7 linked regions of the Cricetulus griseus genome follow. The protein of the gene in region 6 interacts with the protein of the main gene of each other region in a pairwise test. Links are inferred from orthologs where the notes say so. Each region holds a gene or a part of one and is shown on either strand. Other genes may lie near its edges. The genes, in order: Tollip, Zbtb32, Pepd, terminal nucleotidyltransferase 5B, Slc6a13, Atxn1 and Ttc19.

Evidence for each region.
Region 1: the proteins of Atxn1 (region 6) and Tollip interact in binary tests that used the Homo sapiens proteins (3 or more experiments, as listed by UniProt). The link is inferred for Cricetulus griseus from reciprocal best matches to the Homo sapiens genes ATXN1 and TOLLIP.
Region 2: the proteins of Atxn1 (region 6) and Zbtb32 interact in a two-hybrid assay, tested with the Homo sapiens proteins (2 studies listed by BioGRID and IntAct). The link is inferred for Cricetulus griseus from reciprocal best matches to the Homo sapiens genes ATXN1 and ZBTB32.
Region 3: the proteins of Atxn1 (region 6) and Pepd interact in binary tests that used the Homo sapiens proteins (3 or more experiments, as listed by UniProt). The link is inferred for Cricetulus griseus from reciprocal best matches to the Homo sapiens genes ATXN1 and PEPD.
Region 4: the proteins of Atxn1 (region 6) and terminal nucleotidyltransferase 5B interact in binary tests that used the Homo sapiens proteins (3 or more experiments, as listed by UniProt). The link is inferred for Cricetulus griseus from reciprocal best matches to the Homo sapiens genes ATXN1 and TENT5B.
Region 5: the proteins of Atxn1 (region 6) and Slc6a13 interact in binary tests that used the Homo sapiens proteins (3 or more experiments, as listed by UniProt). The link is inferred for Cricetulus griseus from reciprocal best matches to the Homo sapiens genes ATXN1 and SLC6A13.
Region 7: the proteins of Atxn1 (region 6) and Ttc19 interact in binary tests that used the Homo sapiens proteins (3 or more experiments, as listed by UniProt). The link is inferred for Cricetulus griseus from reciprocal best matches to the Homo sapiens genes ATXN1 and TTC19.

What each region holds. Positions count from the first base shown.
Region 1 is NC_048596.1:59,283,494-59,287,582, forward strand, and holds the start of Tollip (toll-interacting protein), read left to right. Parts: upstream 1-1,289; 5' UTR 1,290-1,416; coding exon 1,417-1,449; intron 1,450-4,089. UniProt on the Homo sapiens protein: Component of the signaling pathway of IL-1 and Toll-like receptors. Inhibits cell activation by microbial products. Recruits IRAK1 to the IL-1 receptor complex. Inhibits IRAK1 phosphorylation and kinase activity.
Region 2 is NC_048602.1:5,237,712-5,241,856, forward strand, and holds the start of Zbtb32 (zinc finger and BTB domain-containing protein 32), read left to right. Parts: upstream 1-1,345; 5' UTR 1,346-1,564; intron 1,565-2,442; 5' UTR 2,443-2,541; coding exon 2,542-3,407; intron 3,408-3,604; coding exon 3,605-3,678; intron 3,679-3,959; coding exon 3,960-4,124; intron 4,125-4,145. UniProt on the Homo sapiens protein: DNA-binding protein that binds to the to a 5'-TGTACAGTGT-3' core sequence. May function as a transcriptional transactivator and transcriptional repressor. Probably exerts its repressor effect by preventing GATA3 from binding to DNA.
Region 3 is NC_048602.1:3,456,029-3,459,215, forward strand, and holds part of Pepd (xaa-Pro dipeptidase), read right to left. Parts: intron 1,422-3,187; coding exon 1,237-1,421; intron 1-1,236. UniProt on the Homo sapiens protein: Dipeptidase that catalyzes the hydrolysis of dipeptides with a prolyl (Xaa-Pro) or hydroxyprolyl residue in the C-terminal position.
Region 4 is NC_048595.1:19,784,018-19,788,196, reverse strand, and holds the start of terminal nucleotidyltransferase 5B, read left to right. Parts: upstream 1-1,379; coding exon 1,380-1,643; intron 1,644-4,179. UniProt on the Homo sapiens protein: Catalyzes the transfer of one adenosine molecule from an ATP to an mRNA poly(A) tail bearing a 3'-OH terminal group in an ATP hydrolysis-dependent manner.
Region 5 is NC_048601.1:23,582,513-23,586,012, forward strand, and holds part of Slc6a13 (sodium- and chloride-dependent GABA transporter 2), read right to left. Parts: intron 2,999-3,500; coding exon 2,858-2,998; intron 1-2,857. UniProt on the Homo sapiens protein: Mediates sodium- and chloride-dependent transport of gamma-aminobutyric acid (GABA). Mediates transport of beta-alanine. Can also mediate transport of taurine and hypotaurine.
Region 6 is NC_048596.1:265,280,488-265,283,987, reverse strand, and holds part of Atxn1 (ataxin-1), read left to right. Parts: intron 1-1,084; 5' UTR 1,085-1,247; coding exon 1,248-3,089; intron 3,090-3,500. UniProt on the Homo sapiens protein: Chromatin-binding factor that repress Notch signaling in the absence of Notch intracellular domain by acting as a CBF1 corepressor. Binds to the HEY promoter and might assist, along with NCOR2, RBPJ-mediated repression. Binds RNA in vitro.
Region 7 is NC_048600.1:76,307,606-76,311,105, reverse strand, and holds part of Ttc19 (tetratricopeptide repeat protein 19, mitochondrial), read right to left. Parts: intron 3,292-3,500; coding exon 3,235-3,291; intron 2,509-3,234; coding exon 2,447-2,508; intron 1-2,446. UniProt on the Homo sapiens protein: Required for the preservation of the structural and functional integrity of mitochondrial respiratory complex III by allowing the physiological turnover of the Rieske protein UQCRFS1.

The sequences.
Region 1 (4,089 bases), about 210 Mb from region 6:
GGGAATTTTATGTGATAAAGTTTTTCCTCAGTAACAATTCTCCCTGGTTTTGTTGCTTGTTTTGTTTGTTTGTTTACCTCTTTAATATTGAGGGATTTGGGAATCCATTAAAGGGCATATGTGTGAACATCTCAAACCCAATCATTTTTAGCAGGTCTTAGTCACAAGAAGTTCCTAGTCTGCTGTCCAGATACAATCTTACACAACTTGCAGGATGCCCGGTGCATTTTTAGACACAATTCAGAGGTTTTGTCTATAACCAAGGGGAAAGGATTGTATAGGGATGTGAACCCCAGGAAGGGATCATGGGTCTCTTATAAATTGTCTGCCATATTGGGTGTCGAGTCTTATGTCCTGGTCTGCCTTAGCTTCATCAGCTGCAGACCAGTGAGAACTGGATAGACAGCTGCATCCAGGGACAGAGCCCAGATGCAGTCCCATGTGCTATCAAGGCAGAGACTGGTAATGGAGGTAGAAGATGAGGTCTTAGAGATGAAGGGAACACAATAGAACACAGTGTGAGTGAAGAAATGTACTAGGAGTACATTTGGTGCTGGGCAGTACCAAGTCTACTGCAGCACAAGCGAAAGAGATCTGCAGATCTGGGGCCACCACAGGATAAACTTAAAGGAACTACATTGAGTCTATCTGGCCAAAGGTCCTTCTGAAGAGAGCGCTCTGAAGAGGCAAGAGTGGGTGGCCTGGGTTTCCTAGGGACATCTCTTCCATTCATTTGGCAAATTCAAGGCTGGTGGAAGTGTTCCAGCCCACTCTTGCCTCTCCTTCAGCTTGGCTTCTTTTTTTAACATTTAAATATAAATGTTCTTCCTCCCACAGCATTTTGAAGTAATTCAAGGGCTTGAGGGTAACTGGTTTTACTGCCATCTGCTTTCTCCTCAAGCTGCCAAACATCAGTTTTCTCCTTTCTTCAAGCGGATCAGGCACCTTGCAGGTGGTGGTCTCCTAGCTATCTCCAGCCAGGTGACTGGACGTTGTGACGACTTGACGGAGTTGAGATAAACATCCATGTTTCGGGTGCCTGGTCCTGGGTCAACAGACTGGCTCACGCCGAGAAACACTCAGGTTTAGGCATGCGCAGACAGCCTGGCAGCCATTTTAAGGGCTTACCGTACTACAGGAGTGACCACCGCGCAGGCGTACACGGGAGACTTAACCCGCCCTCACCCCAGCCCTTTGCACGCATGCGCGGATTAGCCGGAAGGGGCGGGATTAGCCATTGCGAAGCGGCTGCGCCTTGGGAATGCCGGGGTGGGGCGGGGCGGGGTGACTGTCAGCTGACTGAGGCGCAGATTGCCTCGCGGGACAACGGTCGGCGACGCAGGTTGAGGTGGGGGCGGAAGAACTCTCCCGGCGGGTCTCTGTGCGGTCGGTGAGGCACAGGGTCGCCGTAACATCATGGCGACCACCGTCAGCACGCAGCGCGGGCCGGTGAGTCCACTGGGCGAGGGCCGGACTGGGGCAACGCAGCCTGAGATCGGGCTCCTCTTGTCAGCCCCTCGTGGGGCCCCTCGCGAGTTGCTCGGCCGTCCCGGAGCTGTGCGGGTCCCACCTTCGGGTACCCAAACGGAGTAGCGACTCTGGTCCTGAGGGTCTCGCGGGTGGAAGAAGGCAGAGCTTGATGGTTCTTTGGATGCCCACGGGCCCTGAAACCCCTGAATCCCTAGAGGGGCCCTGAATCCCTTAGTCCTCCACACAGAGGAACGTGACCCCATTGGTTCCCCATACTGAGAGGGACCCCGACTCCCCTTAGTTCCCCGGGTGGAAAAAGGGTCCCGAACCCCTTACTTCCCCAGATGTATACCAACCCCTTGGTCTCTCAGATGGACATGGGCCCTGACGCTTGGTTCCCCAAATGGAGAGTGGTCCTGACCCTGTTAATTTCCCAAACTGATAGTCTTGGCTCCCATGATCTCTCAGAGGAGTGGGGCCTGACACTCCTCTGATGTTTCAGAGATGGTGAAAGATCCCACTTTGTAATCAGCTCTTAGTTGTGTCAGTTTCTTCCTCTCCCTGCTCCTATAGAGAACAGGGTTGCTACCTCTTGAGCCCGGTTAGTGGCTACCTTTCCAAGTCTCAGTTGTTCATCTATAAATGAGGAGAAGGGAGCAGAAAACGTGGAAAACCAACAGTGATGGCTCCTAAGGGTTGTCTTGGGGTCCACAACACTACCTGTCTCTCCTACCTCTAGTGTGGATGTCCTCCCAGTAGTTCTCTGAGACTGATATGAGTTGGATGTTGTTAGCTAACAGTGGTTATGTGTGTAGAACACAGTTCTGATGGCTCCATTGTCTTTTCCCTGAAGTTATTGAAAGTGTCTGCAAAGCCTTTGGTTTCCCAGGTCCCTCACCCTGACAGCTTGGTGTTGACAGGTGTGTGTGTGTGTGTGTGTGTGTGTGTGTGTGTGTGTGTGTGTGTGTAACAGATAAATCATTGGGGTAGATGACTGATTTTCTGACTTTGAAGAAAGCCCCAGGCAGGGTGCTTTTTTGGAGGGCTTTAAAGCCAGACTTCCTGACCAGAGTTGGGGTTACCTTCATGTTCAGCAACCCTTCTTCATCCTCACTGTGTCTCACCAAACTACAGAAGATTGCTAGTGGCTGACAGAAGAGGAAGGGAGCCAGTACTTTGCTCTTTTCCTATCTCCTGCCAAGTGGACACAGGGCCAGGCAGAGTGGACCGTTCCTTACTGTGTGTCTGAGAGTGCCTTTACTTCTGTGGCTGGACTGCATTTGAATTCATCTGATGGTGAGCTTAATGTCCGTCATTAATTGAGTAAGAAGGTGTCCTCCCGTGTTGCTGAGGGAAACTCTGGTGCTGTGTGTATAGAGCTGGGGTAACCCACGCTGTGATGAGTAATTGGGAGTGTCGGGTGACATTCATACTAGCGCAATCTGTGGAGTCAAGTCCTGACGCTTGATCTTTCTACTTGCCCAGTGTTCTAGGGACCACAGAGTCTTATAAATAAACATAGACAGCTGAATGGTTTTTTAGGAGCACTCTTGATGACTTGTAATATTGTGTCTGGACTCTAAGAAATTGTCATCAGTGACAGATATCTTAGACTTTGCTTGGGATGTATTATTGGCCACAGTATTTAGAGCAATTGGACACTGAGTCAAAAGTGTGGAGCACAGGGACACAGCTATGCATGGTGACCCATATAAAGCCAGAAAATAACAGTCACCATCAGGTCTGTGCTCTTAATCATTGAAAACAGAAAGGTATGGACTTGGTGTGGGAGGAGTGAATGGGTTATGGCCAGGGTCTCTTAAAGACTAGAAGATCTTGAACTTGATCTGGTAAGTGCTGTTTCTTAGAGTGCATGCCTTTTACAGTTTTCAGCTTTTCACTGGCTGCTTCACCTAGAATGATCTACCTATATGCCTCTGGATTCATTAATATTTGCAAAGGTTTTTTTAGCCAGTTGTCAGGGTCTAGTAGAACTGTCAAGAGTGTGGTAGTTCTTCCCTACTATTCATGTCATACTCAGGGTTGTGGAGCTGTAAAGATAAACAGAAGTACACATTTGGTCAGTACTGGGTACTATTGGCAGCCTTCTTTTTGTAACCGCAGCAGGGGGTTAGGCTATGGTTCAGAGTCCCCTTCCCAGGAGCCTGGACTAGGCTTGGGCAGTTGTCTCTATAGCTGACCTTCACCTCTGATGAGTGGGGAAGGACTGACAGTGTCTTGGGAGGCTATAGAAGGCTGAGGACACTCTCATCTGGGCTAGGAGGGTTCTCTATTCTTGGTTGAGGGTTTGGGATGGGGCAAGTATGAGGAGGAGAGCCAGAACCCACATAATTGTGAAGGAATAAGTTTTTCCCTGGGACATTTGGTATTTTACGTTTTTTTTTTGTGTTTTGTTTTTTTTGTTTTGTTTTGTTTTGTTTTGTTTAATAGCCACTATAGGGCACTACAATCTTTCATAGCCATCTCACTTTTGAAAATACTGGTATTTTGAAATTACCCCTTTTGCTACCCAGTCTGCACACCTGCTCCTTTCCTACAGTAGTGGTTTTTTTTTTTTTTTTTTTTTTGCGGGGGGTGGGGTGGGGGGGTGGGGGGGTC
Region 2 (4,145 bases), on a different chromosome or scaffold from region 6:
AATCTCGTGTGTTCCCAAGTGTGTGATGTCAGGAATTAGAAAGCCCAGAAATGGAAAATATGTAACTTTCAGGGGAGCAGATGAACACAAGTTGCCATTTGCATTTTCCCTTTCGCTCTGACTCATCTTCCCCTATCTCCACCCTACTGCCCCTTCGCCAGCCTCACCCACCGACACACCCTGTCTGACCTAGGAGGGGCTGACACCTGCCTGCATCCAAGCTAGAATGGGAGGGAAGGCATCCTAGGCCCGGAGGGAGAGAGTAGAAGTCTGGTCTGAATACCCTGGAGCCCTGGAGCCAAAGGGAGAAAAGCAAATGTTACCCCATTGGGGCTAGGAGGGGCCGGAATCCAGGGAGAAACCTATGGGGACCGAGACTGAATCTTGTCACCACAGCGTCTACCAACGTCTGCCTAGTTTCTCTTTTAGCTGTTTATTGTACCTATATGAATACCAGACACATGCCACAAATATCCCAAGATATCTTCTCAGGGAATGGAAAGATCAGCTTAGGAATCGGATTAATAGAATGGAAAAAAAGGAAAAAAAAAAGAAACTGAGTCTCAAAGGGTTTGTCCCTTCCTCAAATTACAGAGTGTCAGAAATGGGTGTGGTGGCACTGGCTGAGGCAGGATAGACATTTCAAGGACATCGTGAGCCACACAGGAAGAGGAGAAGAGACGGTGGTGCTAAAAGCGTGATAAGAGGCGGAAATCTCCAGGGATCTTGACCCCTTGGGCAGAAAGTGAAAGAAGCCCCTGGTTTTGATTTCAGAGAAATGTCATTTGTCATCAGCCCAGGAAAAGGAGATTTTTCTCTTCGAAGACCACCACAGGCTTCCTGGGGTTGCCCCCCTCAGAGTCTGCTTGGAGGATCTGAGTCACACACACACACACACACACAACCCCAGCCCTTGCTGTGGTCCAGAGGACAAGGGTCAACCTCACAGAATAAGAGGGGCTCAATGTACCCAGCCAGGGAGAGAGGAAGGAGGCATGGCCCCCAGTTCCCCCGTGCTTCACATTCTGCTTCAGGCAGAAATGGTCTGCAGCTACTCCACACGTCTGTCACCTCTAAGACAGACCGAATAGCAGCTGAATGCTAGGCTGTACTGGCGGCTACTTCCCTATGCATGGCCCTTGGTCTTCACCCCTCCTCCAAAGGACACCAGTGGTATTTGACGCATGAGGAGACTGAGGCTCAGACAGATGACTTGCCCAAGGTGACTCAACTAGTAAATGGCACAAATGAGGCTCAGCCTCTGACTGTTCCAAAGTACCTGTGGCCACAGTTGATGTCTTTGGCTCTAAGGAATTGACAAATCACAGAGTTAGGTGAGGAGGCAGCCTGGGTTGTTAAAAGTAGATGGGTAGCCTCTGGCAGGTCTCAAGCAGAGACAGAAGGTATAAAGCCACACCCCTTTGGGGGGGACTGTGGCAGACTGATACTTGGGATGACTGAGGACAGGGGTGGAGCTAGCTGGGGTGGGGGGCAGGAGCCCCAAGAGCAGTATCGAGCATGCGAGCATGCGAGCATGCTGCGGTGCTAGGAGGCAGCTACAGAGGTGAGTGTTGTCTCCCGGAGCTGAGCCCCCTCCATTCCAACCATTTCTGTGCAGTCCCTGCCAGCTGGCACCCTTCACCCCAAGGTGTCCAGGTAGTAACCCTCCCTCCCTCCCTCCCACAGGGCCCCGGCTCACGGAGGGCCTGCATGCACCGGGGGTAGGCCTGCTAGGTGCTAAGACACTTGGGCTATTTCTTGATCTGTCTGTCTCCAGTATCCTGGAGGCCTGTGATGGTTTTCTTGTGTGTGATTCAACCCTCGACTTATTGGGCACTTTCTAAACCATTCGTTAGCCTCATTTTGTTCTCCAGTTTCCCTTTCCTTTTTCTCCTTCCACAGGCACCAGAGCCTTCTCTAAACCTCTGGTGTGGCTCTCTCAACTCGCTGGATGGCAATCTCTAGTCTTCCTCATTCCTTCTCTGTGTGCTAGAAGCTCCAGCCTCGGAGTGATGCCTAGCACCTGCTCTCCCTGCCTGGCTGCCTGCGTAACCTGTCCAGCTGTCTGGGCTCACATTGTGGGAAGACCCACAAGCTTTTTGAGGTCTTTCATGAAGTGGCATCTTACTCATTCATAAATGCCAAGTTTTGTGAGGAAAAGCCCAAGCTGCTCAGTGGGTCTTCCCTGCAAAAGAGCCCGGGGAAGCAGCAACCTTTAAACCCGAGTTTGCTAACTGTACGGGTCCTAGACCCCACTGCTTGCTACCTCTGCTAACTGCCTGGCTCTTGCTCCTTAGGCCCCAAACCTGACCCAATGTGGATGGATTCTCTTCCCGCTGCTTCCCCAGCTTGCCTTTGACTTGGTTTATATGACTCATTCAGGACAGACAGCTCCAGTCTGAGACTGGAGAGTCACTCCTCTTTCTCCCCTCCCCTCCACAGGCCTGAGAATATGCGGTTTCTCCCTCCCCTTTCTGCCATGGACCCCCCATTGTGGCTTTTCTGTCAGAGCCTCTGAAACTGGTAGATTAGTCGAGAGCAATGCCCCAGACCCCCACAAGGCTGATCAGCCCCTATGGCTCTGATCGGTTGGTGCAGTTAGCGGCTAGGCTTCGGCCAGCACTGTGTGATACCCTGATCACTGTAGGCGGCCTGGAGTTCCCTGCCCACAGCCTGGTGCTGGCAGGTGCAAGCCCGAGGCTGGGATGCAGGGGCAGGTGGGCTCTGGTTGAAGGCATCAGCCCTTCTACCTTTGCTCAGCTGCTAACCTTTGTGTATGGAGAGAGCGTGGAGCTACAGCCTGGGGAGCTGGGGAACCTTGAAGAGGCGGCCAGAGCCTTGGGGGTGCAGGCCCTGGAAGAGGCATGCAAGCGAGCTCAAAGGGACAAGAACGAAGATGAGCTGCATGGAGGACTGAAGAGGCACCAGGTGTCAGAAGAACTCACGAGGAGTTCTGAGAGAAGACCGGGGGGTCCTGGAGAGAAACAGAGCCCAGAGAAGGATTTTAGGAGTAACAGGAAAGAACAGGAGACGTTACACAAGCGCAGAGCACCCGGAGAGAGCCCTGAGAGGGCAGGGCTAACTAGGAAGATGAGAGCAGAGGAGGCCCTCAGCTCAGCCCCTGGGGGCCACAGGGGAGCAGAAAGGAAGCAAGGAGAGGCCATACAAGGTATAGAGAGCCCTGAGGGCTCTGAGGAGTGTCTTCGTGGGTGCCCTGGTCCCCTTTCCCTACCAGGTTCCCCCCTAACCAGCCTCATTCCCAGGCCCTGGTGGGCTGAGGCCCCTTGGTTGGGAGAGGGCCAACCTGGCCTGTGGAGCATCTTCCTGTGGCCGCCCAGATATGGCATTCCCTCCTCCCTTAGCACCCCCGTCACTGCAGCCTGGCAGGTCTGGCCTCAAGACCAGAGGTGAGTGAAGGGCTTAGTGGAAGGTATCTAGGCTGGGGGGGCTTTAGCTCAGGAGAGGCAGCAGTCATGGGTGGGAGGGAACCACGTCTCCATACGTTTGCTAAGTTAAGGAGACAACAAAATATTCTGATCTTGAGAGAGGCCAGAGCTGGTTAGGTTCTCAGGCTTCGCCAAGGCTGTAATTCTTCTCCACCCAGGATCCCACTGACCTTGAGCCACTCCAAAGGTCTCTGGAGTCAGAATCAGCTGGCCTCCTCTAGCTCCACTCCAGGTAAGCCCCTCATTGTTCCATCCAGGGCTTCTGCACAGCAGCTGGGCTCCAGGAGTCAGGCCTTAGCAGGGCCCCTACTTTACCCTACTTGCAGGATCCTTTCCCCAGGGCCCTGAACAACTCAGCCCTTGGGAGACAAAAGAGTCTGGGTAAGGGTACACAGTAAGCAGGGCGAGAGAACTGCTACCTCAGGGTCACCAAAGCTCTCAATTTCTTGCCTGGATGTATTGACTCAATTCAGGGATTCTGGTCATGCCATCTTGACTTCTCTGTCCACACAGGCACACTGGCAACCTGTGTGGGTCAAGAATGCACACTGAGCTGTCCATCTCACCAACACTCTGCTTTACCCCTTCCTGCTCGCTCCCGGCCCTATTCTTGCTCTGTCTGTGGAAAGAGGTTTTCACTCAAGCACCAGATGGAGACGCATTACCGAGTCCACACAGGTATGGGCATACTGCCCAGTG
Region 3 (3,187 bases), on a different chromosome or scaffold from region 6:
TTACAGGCTGCCCTCCAACAGACATAGCTTAGAGGAGGCTGGTGAGCCGGTCCAAGTGACCCACGGGCCAAGGATGGGGATGCCAGCTATGCTAGGGGTGTCCATGCCCACTACTCTGCCTGGGCAGAAGGCTCAGTGGGGCCTCAACTTGTACTGGACTCTGAGGAGAGACCCAGATGTGTCTGTAGGCCTGAAATAAAACAAATGACTTTTATAGGAAAAGCCATATTTTTTCCACAGTGTTTATCTGTCAGAAGAATAGACTGAGCACAAAGGGCTGCTTACTGGAAAAGATGAAAACAGTTTGCTGCCAATTTTCTTTGGTGGAAAAAAGGACTTTGGCGACTAATGAATAACGAACCTCAACTAACAATGTCTGGAAGGGCCTGCTCTTGGCTCCCTGCACACAATAGGATGGACAGAAATTAGGAAATTAAAACTGATTTTGTTTCTCCAAATTTAACTGTTTACACTTGAGAAAAAAATAATTGAATAATAATGCTTCTCTTGAGCAATCCTCCCCTCCCCCCAAATCATTCTCTGTGCTTTCAAAATACCCCACAGCCAAGAGGCTGGGTCCAGGCTTGGCTAACTGGCTGGGGGGCCCCAGGGTGTGCACCAGTTGCACAATCCGCCCCCTGCACGGTGGGCCCCAGGCCAGGCTGGGCAGCAGGAATGGGCCCCGAGGGGCTGTAGCCACCTGCCCAGTAAGGGCTTCCCAGGAGCCCTCTGGAACCCACTGGGTGGTCCCTGGAGAGCTGGCAGCACGAGAGGGCGAGGGAGCCCTGTCTGAAGGTGCCCCTCAAGCCTTCCTCTCCTGCCAGTGGCCCGGGAGGCAGAGGGTGAGGCAGCGAGGGAGCTGGCAAGGGCTCTGCTGCTGAGCAAAGGGCTGAAGGCAGTGTGAATGAAGGACGTGCAGGCTTTGGTGTGACTCTGAAACCTGGCTTCAGCTCCGTTATCTTCTGGGGAACCTTTGCACAGATGCTGTGCACACAGCGTGTGTCCTGAGGCCTCATAAACAGAGGCCTCCACCTCCAAGCCTGAAGCCTTTGCAGCTACTGGGGAAGTCCACTCACTGACCCACCCTGTGTGTCCGGGACTCACTTCCTGTGTGTCACAGGGAGACCCATCCTCCTGTTTGACTGTATCTCCAGTACCCCCCCCCCGCCCCCATGAACCCCCACTCTACCCCAGTAAGCTCCAGGCACAGGGAGACCAGCATGTGCACTAACTAACCTCAGGGTAGCCGCCCACGTCGTGCACATCGAGGCCCAGGAAGTGACCGAGCCCATGTGGCATGAAGACTGCCCCCAGGTGGACCTGGAGCATGGCGTCTACACTGCCACTCAGGAGGCCAATGCGGGTCAGTTCCTCCAGGTGGATACGGTCGGCCAGCCGGTGCATGTCAGGCCACCAGACACCTAGGGTTGAAGGAGAGGCCATGGTAAGCCGGGGCTCTACAGACCGCGGGGTGAGGACCCAGACTCTGCACCATCATAGTGCAGGGCCAAGCTTCTGTCACCCAAAGCCACGGGCTTGGTTGTTCTGCTCAAGAGCTGAAGTGGGTGGCTCAGGCCCAGGCATCCCTGCACACCCCAGGATGGCTAACTCAGTCTGGAAGCTGCTGTGGGAACAAAGGTTTCCGGGGGAAGGGACAGCTGGTGGGGCCTCACCCTCTGGTGGGCAGGGGTCTGGAACCATCTCCATAGTTGCCTAGATGTCTAAGCCCAGGCTGCTAATCAAACTCATCTCTGCCCCAAGTTTCTGGAGCAAAGGTCACTGCGGGGAGCTTTCTATGCCGGCTAGTTTTATGCCAACTTGACACAGGCTAGTTATTGGAGAAAATGCCTCCATAAGGTCATGTTGCAGGCAAGCTTGTAGGACATTTTCTTAGTGATTGATGAGGGAGGCCCAGCCCATTGTGGGTGGGGCCATCTCTGGGCCGGGGGTCCTGGGTTCTATAAGAAAGCAGGCTGAATAAGCCATGAAGAGCAAGCCAGTAAGCAGCAATTCTCCCTCTCCATGGCCATCAGCTCCTGCCTAAAGGTTCCTGCCCTGTTTGAGTTCCTGCCCAGGCTTCTCTAACGAACTGTTATATAAGCCAAATAAACTGCTGAGTCTCCCGAGGTTGCTTTGGGGGTGCTTCATCACAACCACAGAAACCCTAAGATACCTCCCATGCTCATAGCTTCAGGGGCCAGATGGGCTTCATGGCTCTGGGGTTTAAGGACAGTCAGCACTGCTTGGACTAATAGGCCCCTGGAGGGCCTCAGACAGCTTCAGGGACTGCCCTGCCTGCTATGGTGGTCTCCAGGGAGACCACCAGACAAGGACCTAGGCCCAGGGTAGTCTTCAGCCCTGATCCCATAAAGGCTGAGCCTAGGTCACAGCAGTGCACCGGTTAGAGGGTAGATGACGGCGTTGTCCTCCCAGTCAACACCAAAGGCGTCTCAGCCATGTCCTACTCTGGCTTAGAGCCTGGCCTGTGGTCACATCACCTCACCCCTTGATGAGCAACGCTGCGAGAAGGGAGGGTGAGAAACCTACATAATTCAAGGGCCTCCAGCAGTGGTTCTCACCCTGTGGGCCACAATCCCTCTAGGGGTCGACCCTTGGGGGGGGGTCTCATCAGATATTTACAATATGATTCATAATAGTGGCAAAATAAGTCATAAAGTAGCAACCAAAATAATGTTATGGCTGGGGGTCACCATAAAGGGTTACAGCATCAGGGAGGTCTAGAGGATAATGAACCAGAAAGGGCCAGGCCTGGAGGCCCAGACTGCGGAGCCTCCGTGGCTGATAGAAAGCCGGTGAGGAGTCCCTTTCCAGCAAGGCTAGCTCATAGGGTGCTGTGGGACCCATGGCCCAAGCCGTGTATGTGGAGAGGTGGGAGGTTTGGCTCTGAGGCGGAGCCAGCCTTCCTAGGGTCTAGAATCTGCTGCTGGGCAAACCTGGGGAGCGTCTGGTTATTGCTGCCTCGAATCTGGGGTCCTCCTAGACATACAACTCTGACCCAGTCTGCACCCTGTGCGTGAGAGCTTTCGAAATTTAATGGGTGGCATTTCAGGGGTGGAGGCTGGGTACCGGGATCCTAGCTGTTACTCGTATGACCTGAGCAGGCTGTCCTGACTCCCTGACAGATACAGGTGCTGCATCTGGCCCAGAAGGCTGGCTAGTCTTGCAT
Region 4 (4,179 bases), on a different chromosome or scaffold from region 6:
CACACACAGAGTGAATAAATGTAAAGAATAGTAATGGTGCGTGGCGTTGATTCCAGCACATGGAATGCAGAGGCAGGTAGGTGTCTGAGTTCAAGGCCAGCCTGATCTGCATAGTGAGTTATAGATCAGCTAATGAGGCCCTGTCTCCAAAGTATAAAATAAAATAACAAAGAATAAAAATGTTAAAATAGCAACCAACGTCTCTGGGGAGAATACATGGGCATTGCTAAGGCTCACCGGGTGAGCACATGGTGCCTTCTCTCGGGGTTTCCAGGAGAGGGAAACAAGGGTAGCATGGTGCTGGGGCTGGCTTCCAGAAAGAAACGTGTGTGTTCTGCTCTGAGACAGGCTAAGCTGTGTTCTCAGATCCTGGGGTGTATAGCTGCTCCTAAGTTTTGATTCCTCTTCCACGGTCATGTTACTCCTTAGCCTGCCTTATAGATCAGGAGGATGTGGAATTTGTTATGTTATTGGGAGAATGACAAGAAAAAACACTGCAGTTATGAATCAGGGTTACGATTTTTCCTCCTCCCCACGTCACATGTATTTAAAATCTGAAAAAAAATGTAAAACTGGGCAAATTCAAAAGTAGCAATAAGTCTCAGCATCTATGATCTGTAAAGAGAGAGAAGAAAAACAGAAATATCCATTCCAGAAAGGCCCTGGATCTGCCCAGATGGAGCGGAGAGGGGATGTTGCATAGATTTTTACACCTCCATCAGGACCATAACGGGCACTCACACGCTACATGATGGTTGGTAATAATGTCCTCTCTCTGAGCAGATTGCACCTCACCTAAAATGGAACGTGTACGTCAGGCACGCTGTGGTTCGAGGGGCCAATCAAGGGAATAAATTAGAAAGCAGCCGCCTCATTAAACAAGGCGACCTAACTTCACAGAGACCTCCCTCCCTCCTGCCGCTGGAGGGCGCTGTCCCTCTAGATCCCGGCAGGCTCGGGCCAATCACAGGCCGCAGAAGTTCTTTAAAGACCAAAGGAGGGAATTCAGCCGGAGAGAGGGGGCGGGGAAGGGGCGTGCCTTTCAGCCAATCAGAATCCCTAGGAGCCGGTACTCCCGTGAAAAACTGGGTGGGCCAATAGTAGGGGCGGGACGAGAGGCGGGGCGGCTCCCGCTGTGTGACAGCTGTGCCGACCAATGGCGGTGCGGCCCGCGGCCTATAAGACTCAGCTGGGCCCCATCCACCTGGCTCTGAGGTCTGTTAGTCCTAGCCGCCGTCGGAGGTGTCCCCTGGGTTTGCCTCGCCGCCGCCGGGCTCCGCACCCCGCCCCCAGCCTCGGCCGGTGCGCAGACACTCTCACTACTCTCCTCGACTTAAGCATTCCCGGGTTTCTGCCGTCGGGGCGCCGGGGCCGGGCGGATGATGCCGTCGGAGAGTGGAGCTGAGAGCCTGGAGCGGCCAGCTGCGCAAGAGGGGACGGACGAGTCCTTGGCATTGGCCACGGCTGGGGCGGCCGGCGGCGGCCCGGACCCGGAGGCCTCCTCGGCCTCTCCGGGACGACACCAGAGCCGGCTGAGCTGGCCACAGGTGAAGCGGCTGGACGCGCTGCTGAGGGATCCGATCCCCATTCACGGACGAGGCAACTTCCCCACGCTGAGCGTGCAGCCCCGACAGATCGTGCAGGTGAAGGGGCGCTGGCGGGGGCGCGGGCGGGGCGGGGGCGGGCGAGGGGGACGGTGCTCTGCCGCCAGACACCTGGAGTCTGCGATTGGCCCGGCCACTATGAAACTAACTAACTAAGGAATGGGAACCGGGGCTGCCAGCTCTGCTCTCCCCGCACCCTATTGAGCTTTCCTGCCCACAGTCTTGGGGAGTCCTTATCCCCTGGGGACCACTCACCAAGACCCAGGCTGGGAGATGAGGAAGCACTAGATGGAGGCATCTCTCTATCTGCAAGCAAAGGCAGCCGCCAATGAGGAGTGCGTGTGCTTTGTTCCAAAATAGCTTTCTTCCTCTACTCCACATCCTTGGACCTCCTGCACCCTCAGGGTTCCAGGGGCACTGTCCTTAGGTTCCCACAGCCCTTGGCTCAAGAAACCTTGGCTAGGTGAGACAGTTCAGAAATCCTTGGGAAGATTCATGCCTCCCACGTGCTTTGGCCAGACCCGAGATCCCACCCCTGAAGATAGCATCAAATTTCCATTTTAGGTGTTCCTCCTCCTTTAAGACTGGAAATGACCCCAAAGCACTATCCACCTCCTGAGGATGTTTGGGGAAGGCTTTAGCAGCTGCTCCCTCCATCAAATTCCATCTTCCTTTTTCTTAACCCTGTATGACCTCAAACTTACTCTTTGGGGCTATAGCCCGAGCGCTTCGGTATTCTGAAATATCAAGGGGGTGCCTGTTCTCATCCCCCGCCCCCATTCCAGCTGAGGCCTCAGGTAGGAGGTGAGCTGCTGCCTAAGACTACTTTGTATGGTGGAGATAAAACTCGGGGGATTCCGGGGGTTCCCCGGGAACAGATGGTACAGGTTCCAGAGTTAGCCACCACTCCCCTGACTCCCAAGTTCAGCATCTAGATCTTAGGCGAGTCCAATAATAGAAACCAGAAAAGTCTAGTGATGCTTCCTGTGTGTTATTGCCACTCATGGACTTTACACACAAACCAGGTAAAGCTGGACATCCCCCTGCTACTCTGGCCTCCAACAGAGAGGGAGGGTGGCTGCTGGGGATTGGTCTTACCCTCCCTTCCTAGGAACAAGGAATGAGACAGAGGGGGCAGGGATGGATTCTCCTGGGCTGACTCACTGGTTGTCCCAGTGGAGCTGGCTAAAGCATTCCTTGCTTGCCCACTGTTGTCTGGATTATTAATAAGCCTGCTTTGACTTGTTTTGTTTTGAGGCAGGGTCTTCCTATGTTTTGCCTGGCCACCTTCTCAAACTTGTAGGCCCAAATGATCCACCTGCCCCAGTGTCTTGAGTAGCTGGGATTACAGGTGAATGCTTGTTTTTCTCTTGAGGAAATACCATAGTCCCAGGCATGCAGGGATGCAAAGGTGCTGCCCAGAGTGATCACACCTCAGCAGGAACAAGTATCTAAACTGACACTAAGGGCACAAATGTGACTGGGTACCAACCTCTGTCTCCTAGTCACGTGAGGGCGCCAATTTCATGGTATGGCCCCCTAAACTAGGGGTATCCCAGAACAGGGAACTGTTGGCTGTGGAGTAGGGAGGTGGCAGAGGCCTCAGGGCTAGACTGAAGTTGGGTGTCTGGGTTCATTGTTTATTCCCTCAGCTGGGCTTCATGCCCCCACCCCATCTGTGCAATGGAAGTGGATTTGACTACTCAGCAATATCCTGTCTGGTTCCAGACTCCCAAGGGAACATGGGCCTTCGCCTGCCTATGCAATCAGTCTGTCTCCTGGTGGGGATCCACAGCTAGCAGCTTTAAAAGCTGTGGGGATATTAAGGATCTGGGGAGGGAGGAACTTTCAGGGCTTCTCCCCAGTGCTTCCTGGTTCAAGAATGGAAGCCTTCTACCTTTGCACCCAACAGGGTCTTCCCTACTGCAGCAATCTGAGCAGCTAGAAAAATACATCCTTGCTTGTGCCTGGCTAAAGGGACCCCTTCTTACTGGATCCCCTTCTCTAGTTCTGGAGACCGGGTTCTAGTTCAACTCAGCCACTTACTGTGCTTGTGACCTTGAACAAGTCATTTGCTTTCTTACCCCAGAGAACTGAACTAAACGATCTGATCTCTCCAGCAGCAGCCAGAGGGCTTGCTCTTGCAAGCTTTGCAACTCTTCAGTCTTCCCAAGGTCTCAGCAGAAGCCCTGGACAGAGCAATTTGGGGAATTGGGTGCCTCAGGACAGGAGAAGGAAGCTACAGTCAGTGCCCCCTCCATGGTTGGAAAGTCTGATTTGGGAGGCTGCAAGCTGCCCTGCAGTCCTTGGGTGTGGCAGTATCTGGGGACCGCCTGTCAAACTGGCAATAGTCATACCTGGGAAAGAGACAACTGACACAACTGGCCCCATGGCCCTGACGCAGGGGATATAATGAGGGGATTGCTACGTCCTCACTCACCTGGCTAGATGCCATGCCCTGGAGTGGGCATCAGCTGGGGAGCAGGAGTTGGCACTAAGGCCCAGTCAGCTCACCTGAGACTCACGGAGGGGGATGGTCTCTCACTGGCTACCTGGGGACAGTTGCTGGGGTGTG
Region 5 (3,500 bases), on a different chromosome or scaffold from region 6:
GAAGGCTCTGGGCTCGAATCCTGCAAGCCACACATTCTCCCACACAGCAGCCTTCCACGAGACGACCTCACCTCTCACACACCCCCACTGTGGACTTTCCACTGTTTGTCTTTGTGCACCAACAGCACTTGGGAAGAGGCTTTGTGTGACAGGTGATTTGAAATATAAGCTCTCCCTGGGGAATGGTCCCAGGTGGAGCCACAGCTTTGGAGGAATGGTAAGAACACCTTCTAAGCAAGTCACATAGCAAAGTGCCCAAGAACACAGATGTAGGGACAAGGTCAGAGAGCACTGGCTTGAAAGGGACAAGGTCAGAGAGCATTGGCTTGAATGCTGACTCTCAGGGTATTGGCTGTGTGGCCTTGGGTGAGTGGCAGTTTGACACCACAAGCATCACTTCCCTGATCTCTAGAACAAAGATATTAATAGAAGGGACTGGTGGAGCAGTAAATGAAAACATAAATGTGAGGCAATGAATGGTGGCTCTTTATGACCTGAACATCACTTTGGAGTTTTATATAATGCTGACACTCTTTTTAATGTTTTATCATCAATATAATCTTGGGGAATATAAAGAGAGATATTTGGGGGGCCATAAATAGCCCAGTGAGCAAGGGTGTTTGCTGCCAAGCCTGACACAATGTACCACTTCTCTCTATTCCTTTCTGCTTTGCTCCCAGTGTGTGTGCTGGCTGGTTTTGTGTCAATCTGACACAATCTAGAGTCCTTAGAGAGGAAGGAGCCTCAAATGAGAAAATGCCTCCATAAGATTGGGTTGTAGGCCGGGCGATGGTAGTGCACTCCTTCAATCCCAGCACTCGGGAGGCAGAGGCAGGGGGATTTCTGTGAGTTCAAAGCTAGGCTGGTCTACAAGAGCTAGTTCCAGGACAGCCTCCAAAGCCACAGAGAAACCCTGTCTCAAAAAAAAAAAATTGGATTATAGGCTAGCCCATAGAGCAGAGGTTCTTATTCTTCCAAATGCTGCAACCCTCTAATCCAGTTTCTCATGTTGTGGTGACCCCCAACCATAAAATTATTCCATTGTTACTTCATAACTATAATTTTACCATTGTTACGAATTGTAATATAAATATCTGATATACAGGATATCCGAAATGTGACCTCCCCTCCCAATGGAGTCATGACCTACAGGTTGAGAACCGTTGCTAAGGAGCATTTTCTTAATTAGTGACTAATGGGGGAGGGCCCAGCCTACTGTGGGTGGTTCCATCCCTGGACTAGTGGTCCTGGGTTCTATAATAAAGCGGGCTGAGAAAGTCATGAGGGGCAAGTCAGTGGGCAGTACTATTTAATGACTTCTGCGTCGGCTCCTGCCTCCAGGTTTCCTCCCTGTATCTGTTCCTGTCCTAACTTCCTTCAGTGATGAGCAGTGATGCAGAAGTGCGGCTCAAACAAACCCTTCCCTCCCCAAGTTGCTTTTGGTCATGGTGTTTCATCACAGCAATAGTGACCCGAACTAAGACAGGGTGTCTCTTGCCACTCAGTGACAGCTCCCGGTGAGTGGGGCTCTTTGCTTTCATGCATGGCCAGTCACAGGGTTTAGGTCAGATCCATAGTCCCAGGCCTTCAGCATTTCTTGATAGCTTATAAGGTAGGTACCCAGCTTATGCTAGGATAAAACACATTCCCTGCCTCATAGCCTTTCCAGCTAATAGGACAATGACATCAGGAAGCAGCAAGAAGAAGCATGCCCAGGAAGGGCCGAAGGTCAGTGTGCGGCCAAAGGTCATTTGGGAGGAGCCTATTGCAATCATTGGGTGTTGGGAAGCACACCTCTAAGATTTGGCTTTTCATTTGACAAAGATGGTGGAACTCGGGTGGTACCAGAGACGGGCAAGGACTTGCCTGAAAGGGCTGTGTGGAGGAAGCACTAGGCCACTGGTGGTCATGGTGAGCTAAGAGGAACAGGCAGAAGCCAGATTCTGAAGGTGTAACGAAAGCCAATCTGAACCTGGCAAGTCAAGGATTCAAACTCCCATTCAGAACCAACGGCTTCTCTGTACAAGAATGCATTCATCGTTGCCATTACTCCTTCACACTGTCTCATGGACAAGCACTAAAAGATACCTGGACATTGATCATGACGTGGAGCAATGAGAAGCCAAGCAGAACACTGGCCAGTGAGTTCTTTGTCTGTGCTATCGAGCCACTAGCCCTTCCGGCACTTAGAGTGAAAATTCCACAGTTCTGCTCCTCAGACACCCTGGACACATGTCACGTGCCCAGTAGCCACGGGGACTGCACAGAGAGCATGTCCATCCTCACAGGCAGGGCTGTTTAGAAGTGCCACCTGGATAGCTTCACTGTTGTCATTGCGAATTTTATTGATAATGGACAAAACAACTCTTGGATGAGTTGAGCACAGATAAATTACAAGTTTGGAAAAACTTAAAATCATATCAGATATGAAACACAAATAAATACGCTGACGTATCAAACAGGCCACATTTCAGATAGAAACAAATAAGTGACTGAACACAGTAAAAGAAGCCAGTTCTATTTGCACAGCACACAAATAGAATACATCAAGTTGTTTTTTTTTTTTTTTTTTTTTTTAAGTCCGTGACATTTTGCTGTGGGGCTGGCGAAGTCTCACTTTGGAGGGGAGTGTTGGAGGAGGAAGCTGGGGCCTTACTCACACACCAGACCTGTGTCTGTCACTGAGCTCCGTCCCAGCCTCTCACTCTTCTTCGTAGAAGTTCATCATAATCTATTTGTCAGATTATGAGTCCAAAATGTGAACTAGAGATTGGATGTCTGGGATACAATGACAACCTCACTCCTGGTGAAGGTGGCCAAGCAGGAGAAGGGAGAGGGCTATTCGCAATGATCTTACCTGTATTCCATTCATGGCTGCAACTTCCCCAGGGGAGGTCGGTGGTGAAGCTGCTGAAGAGGTAGAAGAGAGCCCAGGCCAGGACAACGATGTAGTAGACATTGAGGAGACTGACGATTATCTGTGAGGCATAGCCGATGCCTGGGGAGGGGACTGAAGCTTTGGGCCAGGACAGTGCAAAGAGTCTCACATACCACCCACTCCTGTGAGGGAAGGGACTTGCATGCCACTATCAGGGCCCATAGCAAAAAGTGCTAGACCTAGCCCAGGCCAAGGAGTGGTTCCAGTGGTCTCCCAGGTTGGTCTTTTGTCTTGTCTTCTGCTGTTAAGCCTGAATTTTGATATTTATCAGACTCTGAGCTACCGTTTAAATACATAACGCTGGAGCCAGGCATAGTGGCACATACCTGTATGCTCAGCACTCAAGAGACAGAGGCAGTTGGATTACCACAAGTTCAAAGACAGCCTGGTCTACTAGTGAGGCCCTATCTCAAAATAAATAAAACTAACTCTACCATGACTTTAGTTCATTCCCCTAGAATTAATCTGACATATTTCTGAAGTAAAAATGCAAGAGCAGGGCTGAAGATATGACCCAGTTGGTAAAATGTTAGCCTTGCCAGCACGAGGACCTGAATTTGAT
Region 6 (3,500 bases):
TCGTATTGAGGATGCTGGCGGCAAGCATCCTGTCTTCCCAGGCTCACATGGCAACGCCTTTCTTACTACATTTCCCAGAATCCTCCTTGACTCCCACCTATCCTGCTTCCTCATTGGCCAACAGTGCTTTATTCATCAACCAATAAGACAAACACATACACAGAAGGCCTTCCCCCATCAACTAACCTTTTTGTGAAAGGAATTTACAAAATGCATCATCATCTAGGAAAAAAAAAAAAAAAAAAAAAAGCAGATTGCCACACACCTGTGATCCCAGTACTTACTTGGGAGAGGCTGAGTCAGGAGGATCATGAATTCAAGGCCAGCCTCCATTACACAGCCAATTTGAGGCCAGCCAGAACAACAAGAGCGCCTTATAAAAGAGAAAAATGGATTATCTACCTCCTCTCCAAGGAGAGAAAAAAATGGTGGAAGAGGAAAGAAAGTGTGGAGAAATGTTTGAACTGCCTACTCTGTTTTATTAAGAAAGTATGTCTGGGCTAGACAGATGGCTGATGATCAAGAGTTTACTGTTCTTATAGGGGACCCAGGTTCAGGTCCTAGCACCCACATGGTGGATTACAACTGCCCATAACTCTAGTGCCAGGGAATGCAATGCCCTCTTCTGGCCTCTGTGGGTACTGGGACATACATACATAAACTCACGCAGGCGCTTATGCACACACAACACACACACACACACACACACACACACACACACACACACACACACACACACAAATCATAAGCAAATGAGCAAATGTTTAAGAATAGTACACGCTTAAACTTACTTATTTATTGATTCTTATTAGCTCAAATTAGCCTAGCTCGTATTTTATCTATTTTAACAGTTGAGCTATAATCTGCTTTTGGAATGCCCACAGAATCCAGGGTCTCCTCTTACTCTTGGTGGTAATAAGGTTTTTGGTTGGTGAGTGGGTGGACTGTTGGTTTGACCTGATGGAGTTTTTCCCCCAGAGCTGATGTTTTGGTTTTCTTCTTCTCCCCTTCCTCCCCACCCGCAACCCCCCCCCCCCGCCCTTCTCTCTTTCCTGTCCCACTCCTGGTCTCTTTCCCTTCTCAGAATCCGGAGCTGCTACTGCCGGCCTAGCAAACCCACGGGGAGATGATTCCTCATGAAGGGCCTGGATCCCCTACAGAAATCCAATGTGACTCTCTGTCTATCAGACTAAAATCAGAGCCAGCCAGACAGTGAAACAGCCACCGTGGAGGGGGGACGGCGAAAAATGAAATCCAACCAAGAGAGGAGCAATGAATGCCTGCCTCCTAAAAAACGTGAGATCCCCGCCACCAGCCGGCCCTCTGAGGAGAAGGCCACTGCTCTGCCCAGCGACAACCACTGCGTGGAGGGTGTGGCATGGCTCCCCAGCACCCCTGGCAGCCGCAGCCATGGGGGTGGGCGGCACGGGCCAGCAGGGACTTCCGGGGAGCTTGGTTTACAAGGAATGGGTTTACATAAAGCACTGTCCGCAGGGCTGGACTACTCCCCACCCAGTGCCCCCAGGTCAGTCCCCACAGCTACCACGCTGCCCGCAGTGTACCCTCCTCCTCCGTCAGGGACTCCAGTGTCCCCAGTGCAGTATGCCCACCTGTCACACACCTTCCAGTTCATTGGGTCCTCCCAATACAGTGGGCCCTACGCTGGCTTTATCCCTTCCCAGCTAATCTCCCCATCAGGCAACCCGGTCACCAGTGCGGTGGCCTCGGCTGCAGGGGCCACCACTCCATCACAGCGCTCCCAGCTGGAGGCCTATTCCACCCTGCTGGCCAACATGGGCAGTCTGAGCCAGGCACCGGGACATAAGATTGAGCCCCCACCGCAGCAGCACCTCAGCAGGGCTGCGGGGCTAGTCACCCCGGGGTCCCCGCCACCCACCCAGCAGAATCAGTACATTCATATTTCCAGCTCTCCACAGAGCTCTGGGCGGGCAGCATCTCCCCCACCCATTCCGGTCCACCTCCATCCCCATCAGACGATGATCCCGCACACACTCACCCTGGGGCCCTCGTCCCAGGTGGTCGTGCAATACAGCGATGCCGGAGGCCACTTTGTTCCTCGAGAGTCCACCAAAAAAGCAGAAAGCAGCAGGTTGCAGCAGGCTATGCAAGCCAAGGAGGTCCTGAATGGGGAGATGGAGAAGAGTCGGAGGTATGGGGCACCGTCCTCTGTGGAGCTGAGCCTGGGAAAGGCAAGCGGCAAGTCAGTGCCTCATCCTTATGAGTCCCGGCATGTGGTGGTCCACCCAAGCCCAGCAGACTACAGCAGTCGTGATACCTCTGGGGTCCGTGGATCTGTGATGGTCCTGCCCAACAACAACACACCCTCAGCTGACCTGGAGGCGCAGCAGGCCACACATCGCGAGGCCTCGCCATCCACCCTCAATGACAAGAGCAGCCTGCACTTAGGGAAGCCCGGCCACCGCTCCTATGCACTGTCCCCACACACGGTCATTCAGACGACACACAGTGCATCAGAGCCTCTCCCAGTGGGCCTGCCAGCCACAGCCTTCTATGCTGGGACTCAGCCTCCTGTCATCGGCTACCTGAGTGGCCAGCAGCAAGCAATCACCTACGCCGGCAGTCTGCCCCAGCACCTGGTGATCCCAGGTACCCAGCCTCTGCTCATCCCTGTGGGCAGCCCTGACATGGACACACCTGGGGCAGCCTCGGCCATAGTCACATCTTCACCCCAGTTTGCTGCAGTGCCTCACACGTTTGTCACCACCGCCCTGCCCAAGAGCGAGAACTTCAACCCCGAGGCCCTGGTCACCCAGGCCGCCTACCCAGCCATGGTGCAGGCCCAGATCCACCTGCCCGTGGTGCAGTCAGTGGCATCCCCTGCCGCCGCGCCACCCACGCTGCCACCATATTTCATGAAAGGCTCCATCATCCAACTGGCCAACGGGGAGCTGAAAAAGGTGGAGGACCTGAAGACGGAGGACTTCATCCAGAGTGCAGAGATTAGTAATGACCTCAAGATTGACTCCAGCACAGTGGAGAGGATCGAAGACAGCCACAGCCCCGGTGTGGCCGTGATACAATTCGCCGTTGGTGAACATCGAGCCCAGGTAACCCTCACCAGGGTCATTCAGGTAGGGAGCCCCTACCCCCATTCTGTCATCTCCTGGCAAAGTGATTGCTTCTGGCAGGTAGGGTTCTCATTGGTACCCGGTGCTATGAGGGGCAGGGATGCTTGCAGTGATCCAGGGGCAAGGAAACTGAGAAGAATTGCCTTCCACATGATCTTCATTAAGAAAGCTAGGGCATCGTGGCTATAGGCAGCCATGCTGCAGCCCTCTGGGGAGAGAGAGAACCTTCAGTGCTGAAGAAGAGCTTCCTCACGGGAAAGCCACCACAGATACTGTGATGGATCCCAGAGGCGTGTCATGGGGTGGGATTCTTGTCATTGGGTTTTAGGGTGACCTGGACTGTGTGTCAGAAGTCACAAAGTAGGAAAATGCAGATTCCCAGGATTGTCC
Region 7 (3,500 bases), on a different chromosome or scaffold from region 6:
GTATTAAGAATCTGTGGTTTCTCATCAGCTGGACCTGAAGAATAAGATGTGAGTAACAAAAGACCAACACCATTCACATAAAGTGAAGCCTTTGCTTTGCTGGAGCAGTCAATGCTGCTTAGCCAAAGCTGAAAAATTAGTGGTGATTTTACTACCAGCATCACTGAGGTGGGTAACAGCTGAGGCTTTGGCCCTGTATGGCAAGGGTGGAGTCCTGCACGATGGTAAAAGTGCAGCCTCAGTTGCAGTGGAGGGCCCTAGCATACTGGAGACTAATATCACAGGACAACTGCCAAGGACTAAACAGCTGTGAGGTGGGGCTGACCTACGCCTATAAGCTTTGTATGCAGGAGAGAAAGAGTTGGAGCTGCCTAGCCCTTTGGAGACCAGAAGATCGTGAGTCTCAGACATAACAGCTATTTATACTTCTGAGAAGAATTGGGTTTTGCTTTGATTTCATCATAACCATGCCCTGGTTCTTCCCTCTTAGAATAGAAAGCATGTAACTTACTTTGGTTTTAACAGAAACCCACAGTTGGATATTTTAAAGAGGCTGAATTTAAAGCATTTGAAAAAAATTTTTAAGACTATGCAACTTTTAAAGTATATTATGTTTTAGGCCAGGAGTGGTGACATACACCTTTAATTCCAACACTCAGAAAGCAGAGACAGGTGGATCTCTGAGTTGGAAGCCAGCTTGTCTACACAATGAGAACAAGAATAGCTAGGGCTGACCGTGTCTCAAAAAAGATTATGTTTTATTTTGTGATACTAATATTAACATGACATCTTGGGGACAAGATTGAAAGGTAAGGGTATATGTGAACAGTGATGTGTGTCTGTGTCAAGGTGACAAGGGGTTAATCATGCTATCTAGTTTTTTATCAACATGATACAATTTAGAGTTAAAGAGGGACTCTTGGCTGAGGAAATTCCCCATTAGATTATCCTGTAAGCAAACCTGGGGGGTGGGGTGCAGTTTCTTGATTGATGATTGACATGGAAGGGCCAGCCCATTGTGGTGTTACCCCAGGCAGATAGTCCTGGGGCATATAAGAAAGCAAACTGAGCAAGCCAGGAAAAGCAAGCCAGTAGGCATCATTACTCTGAGGCTTATACTTAGTTCCTGCTTCAACTCTCTACCTTGGCTTCCTTCAATAGACCATATTCTACCGAGCAAAAGAAACCCAAGACAATGGTTCTTAAGGCCTCACAGGTTTCCAGCTTTTGGCAACATCTAAACTGTTTCTTAAAGCCTTCCATGTAGTCAAAGGGCTTTTTCTTCTTTATAAGAATTTAGGGTCATTTGTGGTAATACACAACTTTAATCTCAGCACTCAGGAGGCAGATACAAGTGTGAGTTAGAGGTCAGCCTGGTCTACACATCAAGCTCCAGGATAGCCAGGGCAACATAGAGATGCCTTGTCTCTAAAATAAATTTAAAAAAAAAAAATCAAACTTATCTACCATTTTTAAACCTAATTCCTAACTTCCATATCCAGACTTCCCTCTGCTACTGGCTATATCCCCCTCCAAAATCCTACTGATTATTTCCACCTGCTCTGAAGACATTTAAACAAAACATCTAATTCCACTTATAGCCACCTGTGCTAGATATAGATAGACTTATGACAGCTAGACACAAGCTAGAGTCATCTTTGAGAAGGGAACTCAACTGAGAAAATGCCTCGATTGGGTGGGCTGCACACAAACACGTAGGGCATTTTCTCAGTGACTGGCCTGGATGTGCCACCCTGGACTGGAGGTCTTGGGTGCTACACGAAATCAGGCTAAGCAAAGCAGTAAGCAGCACCTCTCTATGGACTCTGATCAGCTCCTGTCTCCAGGTTTCTGTCCATTTTGAGATCCTGCCTTGGCTTCCCTCTGTATAAAAACACCAAACAAACCCTTCCCATCCCAAGTTGCTTTTGGTCATAATGTTTTAACACAACAAAAGAAACCCTAACTACAACAGCACTTATTTTCCAGAATGAATAGTAAGCTGAGCCAGAGAAAACCAGTAAGTAATTCTCACCATTTAACTTCATACTTAACTTATTCTTTTGCTGGTAGCAGTAGAGGACTTCTTTAAGTCTGTTATGCTGTGGTACTTTTAACACTGTTCCCTTTGCTTCTAGGAAGAGTTAGGTACAGGCCTAACTCTATTTCCTCCTCATTTCAAGCAAGAACTGAATACTTGATTAGCTATCACCATGCAGTTACAGGGATGAGGGCTGTGTAGACCACATCAGGTAGATGGAAACAAAAGGAGGGAACTCAAGATTACAAAGATGAGAAATGCAACACTTTGAGTGTGACATTCAATTTTTTGGAGACCCAGATGATTGACAGGTAAATTAACCTATATAAAACCCCAAGGTCTGAGTGTTCTGCTCATCACTCTACTAGCTAGCCATTGCCACATCCATATTCTGATCATACTTACTTATTCTGAGCAGCATAGATACTGGCCAGCTTCAGAGAGATCTCGATTATTGCATTGTCCTCCTGTTGGAACCAAAAAAGAAAAAGAAGAGAGAGAGAAATAAAAATTTCTTATGGAGTATTTCCAACTTTTCTACTAAATTTGGCCTCAAAGCCAGTCTTTCTTCCTTGAAAAGAATTAACCAACTATGAATTCTTTGGCAATTGTTACTTGGAATCAGTAAAATACTGGCTATTTTTTTTAACAGGTCTAGGGGTAAAATAACCATCTTTTTTTTGTCAAAGTACCTATGTTCTAGGCCTGAGGCTACAGGGCATATCCTGGTTGGTTTTTCGGTCAAGTAAACACAAGCTACAGTTATCTGGAAAGAGGAACTCAATTGAGAAAAATGCCTCCATCAGACTCTAGGCGTGTCTGTGGGGGCATTTTCTTGACTCATGATTGATGTGGGAGGGTCCAGCCCACTGTGGTGGTATCACCCCTAAGCAGGTGGGTTTGGGTGACTGAGAAAGCAAGCTGGGTGAGCCACATGAAGCAAGCCAGTAAGAAGCAGTTCTCTATGTCCTCTGCTTCAGTTCCTGTGTCTAGGTATCTGCCTAGAGTTCCTGCCCTGACATCCCTTAGTGATGGACAGTTACCAGAAAGTTTAAGATAAAATAAAGCCTTTCTTCCCCAAGTTACTTTTGGTCATAGTGTTTTATCACAGCAACAGAAATCCTAACTAAATCAGGGAGTTTTCATTTTGTTAATTGCTTCGATAAGGAGACAATATTAGACAGTGTCCTTACCTGCTTCATGCCTCCTCCAAGCAGGTAACTCATTGTTGCTTTAAAAAGTTGTTCTGCCTAAAAGCATAAAAATTCTTAACAAACCATCTATATATGACCCTTGATTCTAAATACCAAGCTAATTCTCAGAATGCATTGAGACTCTTATAAAGGGACCAAAAGATCAGGATCTCACATCTCCTTAGTACCTTACAAGTAACCTGTGATGAGTGGAAACTAAGTTCAAGAGATTAATCACCTGAACCAATGTCCCCTAATAGTCACCC